Linked DNA regions of Macaca fascicularis. The protein of the gene in region 1 purifies or fractionates together with the protein of each later gene. This does not show direct contact. Links are inferred from orthologs where the notes say so. Each region holds a gene or a part of one and is shown in the gene's direction. Other genes may lie near its edges.

What was found. Proteins that work in one complex are often made in the same cells at the same time.
Region 2: the proteins of SMARCC2 (region 1) and DPF2 purify together in Homo sapiens (affinity purification with mass spectrometry; 8 studies listed by BioGRID and IntAct, counting the BioPlex papers as one, with this or other methods). This does not show direct contact. The link is inferred for Macaca fascicularis from reciprocal best matches to the Homo sapiens genes SMARCC2 and DPF2.
Region 3: the proteins of SMARCC2 (region 1) and TBL1XR1 fractionate together in Homo sapiens (co-fractionation; 3 studies listed by BioGRID, with this or other methods). This does not show direct contact. The link is inferred for Macaca fascicularis from reciprocal best matches to the Homo sapiens genes SMARCC2 and TBL1XR1.

What each region holds. Positions count from the first base shown.
Region 1 is NC_088385.1:62,954,071-62,957,721, reverse strand, and holds part of SMARCC2 (SWI/SNF complex subunit SMARCC2), read left to right. Parts: intron 1-1,190; coding exon 1,191-1,325; intron 1,326-3,611; coding exon 3,612-3,651. UniProt on the Homo sapiens protein: Involved in transcriptional activation and repression of select genes by chromatin remodeling (alteration of DNA-nucleosome topology).
Region 2 is NC_088388.1:9,032,607-9,036,257, reverse strand, and holds part of DPF2 (zinc finger protein ubi-d4), read left to right. Parts: intron 1-302; coding exon 303-466; intron 467-2,638; coding exon 2,639-2,731; intron 2,732-2,884; coding exon 2,885-2,963; intron 2,964-3,473; coding exon 3,474-3,515; intron 3,516-3,651. UniProt on the Homo sapiens protein: Plays an active role in transcriptional regulation by binding modified histones H3 and H4. Is a negative regulator of myeloid differentiation of hematopoietic progenitor cells. Might also have a role in the development and maturation of lymphoid cells.
Region 3 is NC_088376.1:88,764,813-88,768,463, reverse strand, and holds part of TBL1XR1 (F-box-like/WD repeat-containing protein TBL1XR1), read left to right. Parts: intron 1-478; coding exon 479-611; intron 612-955; coding exon 956-1,097; intron 1,098-3,573; coding exon 3,574-3,637; intron 3,638-3,651. UniProt on the Homo sapiens protein: F-box-like protein involved in the recruitment of the ubiquitin/19S proteasome complex to nuclear receptor-regulated transcription units. Plays an essential role in transcription activation mediated by nuclear receptors.

The sequences.
Region 1 (3,651 bases):
TTCTCTAAGCTTTAAAAAAATATGTCACCATTGGGCCTGTTTTCAACCCTGTCGGTATTTGACTCTGTGTTACCCTTTGCCACAGTATCTCCATGTTTTTATTGAGACAGAGTCTTGCTCTATCAGATCTCGCTCACTGCAGCCTCCACCTCCCAGGTTCAAGTGATTCTCCTGCCTTTGCCTCCCGAGTAGCTGGGATTACAGGCGCACAACACCATGCCCGGCTAACTCTTTGTATTTTTAGTAGAGACGGGGTTTCGCCATGTTGACCAGGCTGGTCTTGAACTCCTGACCTCAGGTGATCCACCTGCCTTGGCATCCCAAATTGCTGGAATTACAGGTGTGAGCCACCACACCCAACCTCCATGTTCTTTTATTTATTTATTTATTTATTTATTTATTTATTGAGATGGTGTCTCACTCTGTTGTCCAGGCTGGAGTGCAGTGGCACAATCTCGGCTCACTGCAGCCTCCACCTTCTGGGTTCAAGCGATTCTCCCACCTCAGCCTCCCGAGTAGTTGGGATTACAGGCACTTGCCACCATGCCTGGTTAATTTTTGTATTTTTAGTAGAGACGGGGTTTCACCCTGTTGCCCCAGGCTGGTCTCGAACTCCTAGACTCAAGGGATCTGCTCATCTCAGCATCCCAAAGTGCTGGGATTACAGGCTTGAGACACACCACGCCTGGCCAAAATAATTTAATTTTTTAAAAAGGCTGGCCGCAGTGGCTCACACGTGTAAGTAATCCCAGGACTTTGGGAGGCTGAGGCAGGTGGATCACCTGAGGTTGGAAGTTTGAGACCAGCCTGGCCAACATGGTGAAACCCTGTCTCTACTAAAAACACAGAAATTAGCTGGCGTGGTGGCGCATGTCTGTAATCCCAGCTACTAGGGAGGCTAAAGCACGAGAATTGCTTGAACCCATGAGGTGGAGGTTACAGTGAGCTGAGATCATGCCACTGCACTCCAGCCTGGGCAACTGTCTCAAAACAGTGAGACTGTCTCAAAAAAAAAAAGACACGGTGGCTCACACCTATGATCCCAGCACAAAAAAAGTCAAGCCCTTTTACCATGAGTTGTTACCACGGCAAGTTTGTTCTTATACCTGCCAGCATCCACCCTACCTTTCTTCTGTATTGTCTTCAGTTGGTCCTCCCACTGATGTGTTGTCTCATTCCTCCTTCCCTAGCACTTGGCTGCTGTTGAGGAAAGGAAGATCAAATCTTTGGTGGCCCTGCTGGTGGAGACCCAGATGAAAAAGTTGGAGATCAAACTTCGGCACTTTGAGGAGCTGGAGACTATCATGGACCGGGAGCGAGAAGCAGTGAGTAGCAGGAGCCCTGGAACCCTGCTGTGCTGTGCCTCAGTTTAAAATCAGAGGGGCGTGTGTGTGTGCATGTGTGTGCGCGTGCGCGTGTTTCAGTGAAAGAGAGATAAGCAACAGTTGGGAAAGCCTGAGACTGACAGGGCTTCAAAGCAGAGCAGGGCAGGAACAGGGCAGGAGTAGGGCAGCCAGTTAAGGACAGTTAAGTGGTCTCACAAGTGAAGTCTGGGGACTGAGGTCCCACAGAAGGTCAGCTCCATGAGGCAGGGACTCTAGTTGGTTGTTTTGATTGCTGTATCACCAGGTCCTTGAGCAGTGCTTGACCCATAGTAGACTCAAATAGTGATTGAGTAAATGGGCTTAAGGAATGATGAGATAGAGGGTTAGGGTCTCAGATCCAGGAGGTACACTTGGAAAGGGAATGGAACAGACACAGTGTTGAACCATTTTGTCTTTGGAGGACATAAGAAGAAACAGACAATAGGGACCAGGCATAGTGGCCCACATCTGTAATCCCAGTACTTTGGTAGGCTGAGGCAGAGGATCACTTGAGCCCCCCCAGGAGTTCAAGACCAGCCTCGGTAACATAGTGATATCCCTGTCTTGACAATTTATTTTATTTATTTATTTATTTATTTGAGACAAGAGTTTCGCTCTTGTTGCTCAGGCTGGAGTGTAATGGTGTGATCTTGGCTCACCACAACCTCTACCTCCTGGGTTCAAGCGATTCTCCTGCCTCAGCCTCCCCAGTAGCTGGGATTACAGGCATGCGCCACCACGCCCAGCTAATTTTGTATTTTTAATAGAGATGGGGTTTCTCCATGTTAGTCAGGCTGGTCTCGAACTCCCAATCTCAGGTGGTCGGCCCACCTCTGCTTCCCAAAGTGCTGGATTACAGGTGTGAGTCACCATGCCTTTTTTTTTTTTTGAGATGGAGTCTCACTCTTTCGCCCAGGCTGGAGTACAGTGGTGCAATCACAGCTTACTGCAACCTCCGCCTCCTGGGTTCAAGCAATTCTCCTGCCTCAGCCTCCTGAGTAGCTGGGATTACAGGTGTATGCCACCATGCCCAGCTAATTTTTGTATTTTTAGTAGAGACAGGGTTTCGCCATGTTGGCCAGGCTGGTCTCAAACTCAACCTCAGGTGATCCGCCTGCCTCAGCCTCCCAAAGCGCTGGGATTACAGGCAAGAGCCACTGTGCCCAGACCAAAAAATTTTTAAAAATAAACAAATTAGCCGGGCATGGTGATGCTAGCCTGTGGTCCCAGCTACTCAGCAAGCAGAGGTGGGAAGATCGTTTGAGCCCAGGAGGTCAAGGCTGCACTGAGCCATGTTTGCACCATTGCACTCCAGCCTGGTTGACAGAGTGAGACCCTATCTCAAAAAAAAAAAAGAATAAAAAGAAATAAAAGATAGGGACCTCAGAGAACTTAAGGTTTAATGGGAGACATCAAATGAATATACAATATGGAGACATCAGAAACAGTTAAGAAGGTTTAAAGTATCTGACAGGTTCACGTTAAGAGATTGCACATCGGCCGGGCATGGTGGCTCATGCCTGTAATTCCAGCACTTTGGGAGGCTGAGGCAGGTGGATCACAAGGTCAGGAGATCGAGACCATCCTGGCTAACACAGTGAAACCCTGTCTCTACTAAAGAATAAAAAATACAAAAAATTAGTTTGGCATGCTGGTGCGCACCTGTAATCGCAGCTACTCGGGAGGCCGAGGCAGGAGAATTGCTTGAACCAGGTAGGCGGAGGTTGCAGTGAGATCACACCACTGTACTCCAGCCTGGGCGACAGAGTGAGACTCAGTCTCAAAAAAAAAAAAAAGAGAGATTGCACATCAAGTTTCTAAGTCCTGAGATCATAAAATAAAGCTAAAGTTCAGAGGCAAATGAATTGATCTGGAATAGCTTCCTAAGAACAGTGAGTTTTTAGTGAATTTTGAAGTAAGAAAAGAACTTGAGTTGACAAAAGGAACTGGAAGCATTTTCCAAAACAAGGTAATGGCAAGTTCAGAGCTTTGTAGCTGAAGTGAACTGGGACCAGGTTAAAGTCATTGCAGTAAGAAACCATATGGGCACCCAGGAGACATAAAGGTCATGGGAATTTGCACGAAGTGGGGTGGGGAGGACAGAGGAGGCACAAGCGCAAGATGTAGATTTTGGGAACCTTCTGATTGAGAGGCAGGATCTTTCAGAAGAAGACAAAGCAGGGGTCAAGGCATTTGCCTTTGGGATCTGCTGAAAACTGGATAACAATACACAATTGGCACTGGCAGCTGGAGTATCAGAGGCAGCAGCTCCTGGCCGACAGACAAG
Region 2 (3,651 bases), on another chromosome or scaffold:
GAGGCGTGGCCTGCTGCATGGTTAGAGCCTGCTAATCACTACGATATACCAGGCCCAGTACTAGATCCCAAATATACTCAAGTGAATATGATGTGATTCTTTCCTTTAAAGAGCTTAGTCTAGAAGGGGAGACAGGTAAACAGATAAGTTATGGTGCCAAGTGAACTAGGGTGTCTTAATTCCTGGGCATCCGGGGAACAAAAGACAGTGACAGACCTTTGGTAAGCCCTAGCATTATGTGGACTCAGAGCAGTCTGCTTTCAGCCATTCTGAGCTTTGCTTCATCCTGATCTTGCTTGCAGACACAGACCAAACCCTGAAGAAGGAGGGGCTGATCTCTCAGGATGGCAGTAGTTTAGAGGCTCTGTTGCGCACTGACCCCCTGGAGAAGCGAGGCGCCCCGGATCCCCGAGTTGATGATGACAGCCTGGGCGAGTTTCCTGTGACCAACAGTCGAGCGCGAAAGGTACAAGATTATCCCTGTGGCTAAGGGAGCTTTGATGGAAATCAGCCTCCTCTTCACTGGGGCCATGCAGTTTCTAGAACTGAAACAGAAGCTGGGGTCCAGGAAGCAGGCCCCTGCAGTTCTGTTCTTACTTCAATCCCTGGTTATTGTCAGGTACTGACTGGCTTCTCTTTTGCTTCTAAGTATAGACTCTCACTCATTCATCCACTTTTATCACAGAACGTTATTATTATACACATATATAATTTTCATTTAAAAAATTAAAAGAGGCCAGGTGCAGTGGCTCATGCCTATAATCCCAGCACCTTGGGAGGCCAAGGCAGGAGGATTGCTTGAGCCCAAGAGCTCGAGACCAGCCTGGGCAACAAAGTGAGACCCCATATCTACAAAAAGTAATAATAAAAAAAATTACCCGGGCATAGCGGCATGTGCCTGTTGTCCCAGCTACTAGGGAAGCTGAGGTGGGAGAATTGCTTGAGCCTGGGAGTTGGAGGCTTCAGTAAGCCGGGATCATGCCACTGCACTCCAGCCTGGGCAACAAAAAAAAATTAAAACCAGAAGGTACAAGAATAGTACAAAGAAATACCGTATACTCTTTACCTAGATTTATCAGTTTCACATTTTGCCACATTTGCCTTATCTGTCTTTGCTAAACCGTTTGAGAGGAAGATGCATATATCAAAAACTTTTCAGTCTAGGCAACATAGCAGGACCTTGTCTCTACTAAAAATAAAAATAAAAAATTAGCTGGGCATGGTGGCACACACCTGCAGTCCCAGCTACTCAGGAGGCTGAGGTGGGAGGATTGCTTGAGCCCAGGAGATTGAGGCTGTAGCTCTGCTCATGCCACTGCACTCCAGCCTGAGTAACAGAGGGAGACCCTGTCTGGGGAGGGAGGGAAACAAACTTTTATCCCTAAATACTTTACTCTTTTATCACAAAAGTTTGTGTCACAAAGTTTTTTGGTCCCTGAGGTTGCACAGTGAAACACACTTGGTCTCTGCCAACAGAGAAGATAAGACTATATATAAAAATAAGAGCTATAAATATGCCAGCATTGGGCTAAGTGCTTTCTCATGCCCTTTCTCCTTTAGTCTGTACAACCTTATGGGGGAGGTCCTGTGTTCCCCATTTCACAGACAAGCTGAAACAAAGCAGTTTAAAAACTTCCCATGGGCTGGGCACGGTGGCTTACGCCTGTAATCCCTTTGGGAGGCCAAGGCAGGCAGATCATGAGGTCAGGAGATCAAGACCATCCTGGCTAACATGGTGAAACCCCGTCTCTACTAAAGATACAAAAAAATTAGCCAGGTGTGGTGGTGGGCACCTGCAGTCCCAGCTACTCAGGCATGAACCCGGGAGGTAGTGCTTGCAGTGAGCTGAGATCGCACCACTGCACTCCAGCCTGGGCGACAGAATGAGACTCCGTCTCAAAAAAAAACTTCCCATGGCCAGCCACGGTGGCTCACGCCTGTAATCCCAGCACTTTGAGAGGCCGAAGTAGGTGGATCATCTGAGGTTGGGAATTCAAAACCAGCCTGACCAACATGGAGAAACCCCGTTTCTACTAAAAATATAGTATTAACCGGGCATGCTGGCGCATGCCTGTAATCCCAGCTACTTGGGAGGCTGAGGCAGGAGGATCACTTGAACGCAGGAGACGGAGGGTGCAGTAAGCCAGTATTGCGCCATTGTACTCCAGCCTGGGCAACAAGAGTGAAACTCCGTCTCAAAAAAAAAAAAAACTTCCCACAAAGTCACACACATAAGCAACAACATTTTCATTTAAACTAGGAGGCGAGTGTCAGGACAGAACCACCAGTAATGTGCTCCCAGGGTGGCCAATCAGAGGCAGGAGAGGGCATGGCTGCTTGTGGCATCGGGGCAACCTTTTGGAAGCATGCTATTTGATTTGGCCATGTGGCATGGTAGGGAAAGCATTTCAGGCTAAGGAAATAATGTGAAGCACAGGGGAAAGAAATCCCAAAGTATGGAAGGGAGCAGGAGCAGGATTGTAGGGTGCTTGAAGGGCGTTGGTGAGAAATGAGGCTCATTCCCCTGTGGGTGGGACCAGGTCACAGAGGAGGTTCTGGGTGGCCTTGGCCAATCTCATCATAGGGGAGCTTTTGGATGCACATATTTCTACCCATGCTAACCCTGCTGTCCACTCAGCGGATCCTAGAACCAGATGACTTCCTGGATGACCTCGATGATGAAGACTATGAAGAAGATACTCCCAAGCGTCGGGGAAAGGGGAAATCCAAGGTGAGGGGCCAGCGTGCTACCTGCATCTTGGGACAGGGTGGCCTAGGGAATTCCTTGTTTTATTTCAAGTGAGATTAGCAGCCACTTCCCAAAGAGTCTAACTCCTCAGGCCCAGCTACCGCAATAAGGGTGTCTCTTTGCTCTTCTTGGCAGGGTAAGGGTGTGGGCAGTGCCCGTAAGAAGCTGGATGCTTCCATCCTGGAGGACCGGGATAAACCGTATGCCTGTGACAGTGAGTGCCTCACAAGTGGGTGGGTAGACCTTGCCTTGGACCCAGCTCCTGCTCAGGCTATGAGAGGAGGGAGGGTTATGTTTTTGCCCAGAGTATTAAAACAAACCTGGGTTCTTGTCCTGCCTGCTGACTGCTTCCGTCTGAGACCCCTGGGAGGCCTGGGGCCCTGCTATATGACGGGTGGGACCTGCATGCTCTGGGAAAGATTTCTGCCATCTTCTGGGGTGGGGTTGCTTGTGGGGGCCACAGCAGGCAGGGTTGGCCTCTCAAGAGACAGCCTGCAGGTCTCCTGGCCTCAGTTAAGCCAGGGCCCCAGGGGTCTGACACTGAGTTTTTCAACGTCTGTTCTCTTTTTCTTTCTCTCTGCCTTGCCCCGCTTCTGTCCCTCCACCCTGGGAGCACCATCGCCGCTGGGGTTTCTCTCTCGTTTGCTCCGCTTTCCTGCTGATGCTGCTCCTGTCTCAAGTGTATCAAGGCCTTCTTCTCATGACTTTTCTTTCTGTCTTTCAGATAGTTTCAAACAAAAGCATACCTCGAAAGCGCCCCAGAGAGGTAGCTCTCTCAACTTTTCAGACTTGTGGTTTTCCTGTCCCTTTTTCCCTCTTCCCTTGTTCCTCCTGCCTTTCTCATTTCCTGGGATGCTAGCTTTAAAATCTCTGGAATGGCATGGGGGTAGGAGCAGTGGAAC
Region 3 (3,651 bases), on another chromosome or scaffold:
ATCTAGAAGCCCTTTTCCCATCATTAAATGAATTTTTGTATCTACATTTGATTTCTAAATGAAATTGTAATACTAGTTATCAACAAATACCATAGCGCTCTGACATTGAGATAAAAGGCAAGTCATGTTATATGAATGATATCAGCAACCCCTACTGGCAGAAACTCAGAATAGTACTGGTAGACATTATGTTTAGTTCAAACCATTTTATCGTTTTATCCATGTTTAGGTCTAATCATTTAAAGTCTGCATCCCACCCCCACCCCCATCCCTCTTAAAAAAAAAGTATGGTCAATACTTAATTAAAGGTACCAATTTATTTTCTATGTGACTAAGACTGTGTAGTCATGTTCAGCTTAACTTGATAATGTTAACCCTGTATGTGATAAAGGAAGGTATTTGCTAGTTAAGAATTCACCCATCCGCCATATTGTAATACTGCCTAACTGGAATTGCTTACTTGTTTTTCACGATGCAGATAATCATACTGATATGATGGAAGTGGATGGGGATGTTGAAATCCCTCCTAATAAAGCAGTTGTGTTGCGGGGCCATGAATCTGAAGTTTTCATCTGTGCCTGGAACCCTGTTAGTGATCTCCTAGCATCAGGGTGTGTTTCTCAAAGTGATACTAAAATGGCTTTTACAAATATCTTACTGAGCATTTTATAAACATATGCATTATTCAGGTTTTCTGTTGTTGCTTATTTGTGGCCATTTTGTCTCTGTAAATGTTTTATTCCTTCATGAAGTAATTGTAGAATTTTTAATTAAACTTACTGTTTCGAGAACGCTTGGGGGTCCCAATGTGTAGAATGGGAAAAATACTGGAAATGAAAATCTGTGATAGTTTAGTTTTTATTTGCCTTATTAATATTCAGATGTAAATATGTTGCCTTGATTCTGATAGTTGAGAATGTCATGAGGATTTAAAATACATTGCATACTTTTATAGGTCTGGAGACTCAACAGCAAGAATATGGAATCTTAGTGAGAACAGCACCAGTGGCTCTACACAGTTAGTACTTAGACATTGTATACGAGAAGGAGGGCAAGATGTTCCAAGCAACAAGGATGTCACATCTCTAGATTGGAATGTGAGTATCACTATATCCATGATGGATATAATTACTAGTATACCTAACCCTCAGAGCCTCAGACTCATGGCACGGTTTGTCTATTTGTTCAGAATTTGGGGTTTTATTAACTAGTAACAACAAACTGGGAGTCGTCACCTGCCAGCCCTCTCCTCCACTGTGGTGTTAAAGACACAAACTTGCCTTAGACCAGGGTACAATGTCCAGCTCTTTAGTGTATCCCGCAGCATCTCCTTGGTTAAATTGTTACTGTTTACTCTGTACTTCGTTTTCCTTAAATGTCAAGTAGATCTGTGAAAATGGTACCTAAATATTTGAGATAATAGGTGAAAATTCTTACCATAATAACAAACAACATACTAAATCCGTAACAACCGAGTTCTTAGTTGGGGGATAAAAGAATTCTATGTAGCAGAAAACATGTTCTTGTTTTTCTCTTTGTTCTGTGAACTGTTACAACTTTATTACCAATTTCCTTTTAGGGATCATTAGTCTAGATAATGTCTAAATTTTATTCCCACTGTAGGAATCTTCTAATTCTCTGATTCTATGTATGATTCAACATCTTTCAGGACAACTTGACTACTCTGACTTACAAAAAACTTTCACTTCATTGTTGATAAATTGTCATCGTTTAGTTGTAAATAATATCTCTTACCTCACCCTGCTAGCCCCCGCCACGCCCCCAAACCTCTTAGATATATTTCAGCATTGCAAAGAATATCTCACGATAGTAGTTCTTCCTCAGCAAATGAATGTTCTTTTCTCTTCTATTTAACAACTTTTGTGGGCTTTCTAAAGGATCTTCTAATTCTTTTCCCAAGGAATGAGATCTATCTTTAAAATCGTTATTCCCGCTAAAGTTCTCAGTTTCTGTGACATGTTTTTTCAGAAATCATAACTGGGTATTTTTAGCATTTTCTTCCAAAATTGCCAGCAGCATGTTTACTCTTCCCCTCCGTATGACAATTCTAAAAATTCCAAAGGGGTTTTGCACATTGTAGTATTATTTACTTGTAGGATCAAGATAGAATTATTTTCTTAATATAGGCCCTTATTGTATCTTAGTTCAGACATCTTATAGCTTTCTTATGCTACCTGGCCCACTGGTCATGTTAATTTAATGAAATTTACAGTTTACACTGAAAAGGATGGTTAATGAATGAATATTGGTTTGTTCAGCTTGGTAGTTCTGAACTGCATTTTATAGTTTTGAAAAGTGTGGGCTTTTTGAAAATGTGTTAATCACGGTAAGCTTGGAAAACATCATCCTCGATTAATGATTCTTTTTCATGGCTAAAGCAAGAGAGCCTGTGAGATTTCTCATCTTTAAAGTATTCTTTTCCTAGTTGAGCAGTTCATGAACTAAAACATTTAGGGACTGATAGTTTAGAGGAAACTTAACATTGTGTAGAATCTGGAAATAAGCTTTTACTGTTGACTTCAACATGGCTCCCCTTCTTCTTCAGATAGAGCCCTAAGGGATTGCCATGTCTTAGCAGAACTGAGTCTGCAGTTCCCAGAACCAGCATTTGTTTTTGTTTGTCACTTAGCCATACTCCTAAAATGGCTTGAGAGATGTGAAATAGGTGATCTTGTTTTGAATGCCCTTACCAAAACCCATCAAGAATATGTCAAGTAATGCAGGATTTCATTCTCCAGTAATGTTTAGTCATTCTAGCAATAGTCTGTTTACTATAATCTGTAACTTTTGCGTTTGCATAGAGTTAGTTAGATCTGTCCTGTTATTACACCATTCATCCAGGCAAGGCGCATAGCAAGGGAATATAAGTTGAGAGAAATTTATATGGACTTTTCCTCCGGTAAAGTAGGCAGTTATACTTACTTCATTAACTATGAAGTCAGCCTGTGCTCTTTTCTGGCTCTTTTGCTTGTGTTGCTCTTTTTATTGGCAAATATTTCATAGTGGGAAGGGATTAATAATAGAAAGGAACATTCAAATGTTTAAGAATCCGATCATTTGAAACAATGATATTGTTTGGATCATACACACACACTTTGTTTTAGACAGTAAAGGATTTAGAGGAATGGCCATATAAAACCTTCTAATCACATTTTAAAGTTTTCCTTTTTTTACTTCTAATAAATCATTCTAACATTATGAATTTGATGTTCGCCCCAATCCACCACCCTACCTTCATTCTTAGTTGTGTGAGTCTGTGAGACTACTTTGGGCACGCATGAGGCGGGATGATGTAGATCCTGGTCCAGAGCTATTACTGTCCGTTGTTGAGCTTTGGATATAAGGCCCCCGTACAACACTAGCTTCACAACAGTGAAAGGGTTTCATAGGCCTTTAGTGGCACTCACAAGTAGGCAAAACTGGCAAGTTTTGAAGCAGAGAATGTCTTCATTCTCTTCTGTACCTGGGATTTAAACATGAAATACTTCAACAACAATTAAATTATAAACCGTATCTAGATTATATAATTAAAGAAATGTTTTTCTCTGGCAGAGTGAAGGTACACTTCTAGCAACTGGTTCCTATGATGGGTTTGCCAGAATATGGACTAAAGATGGTAAATGAAGCATT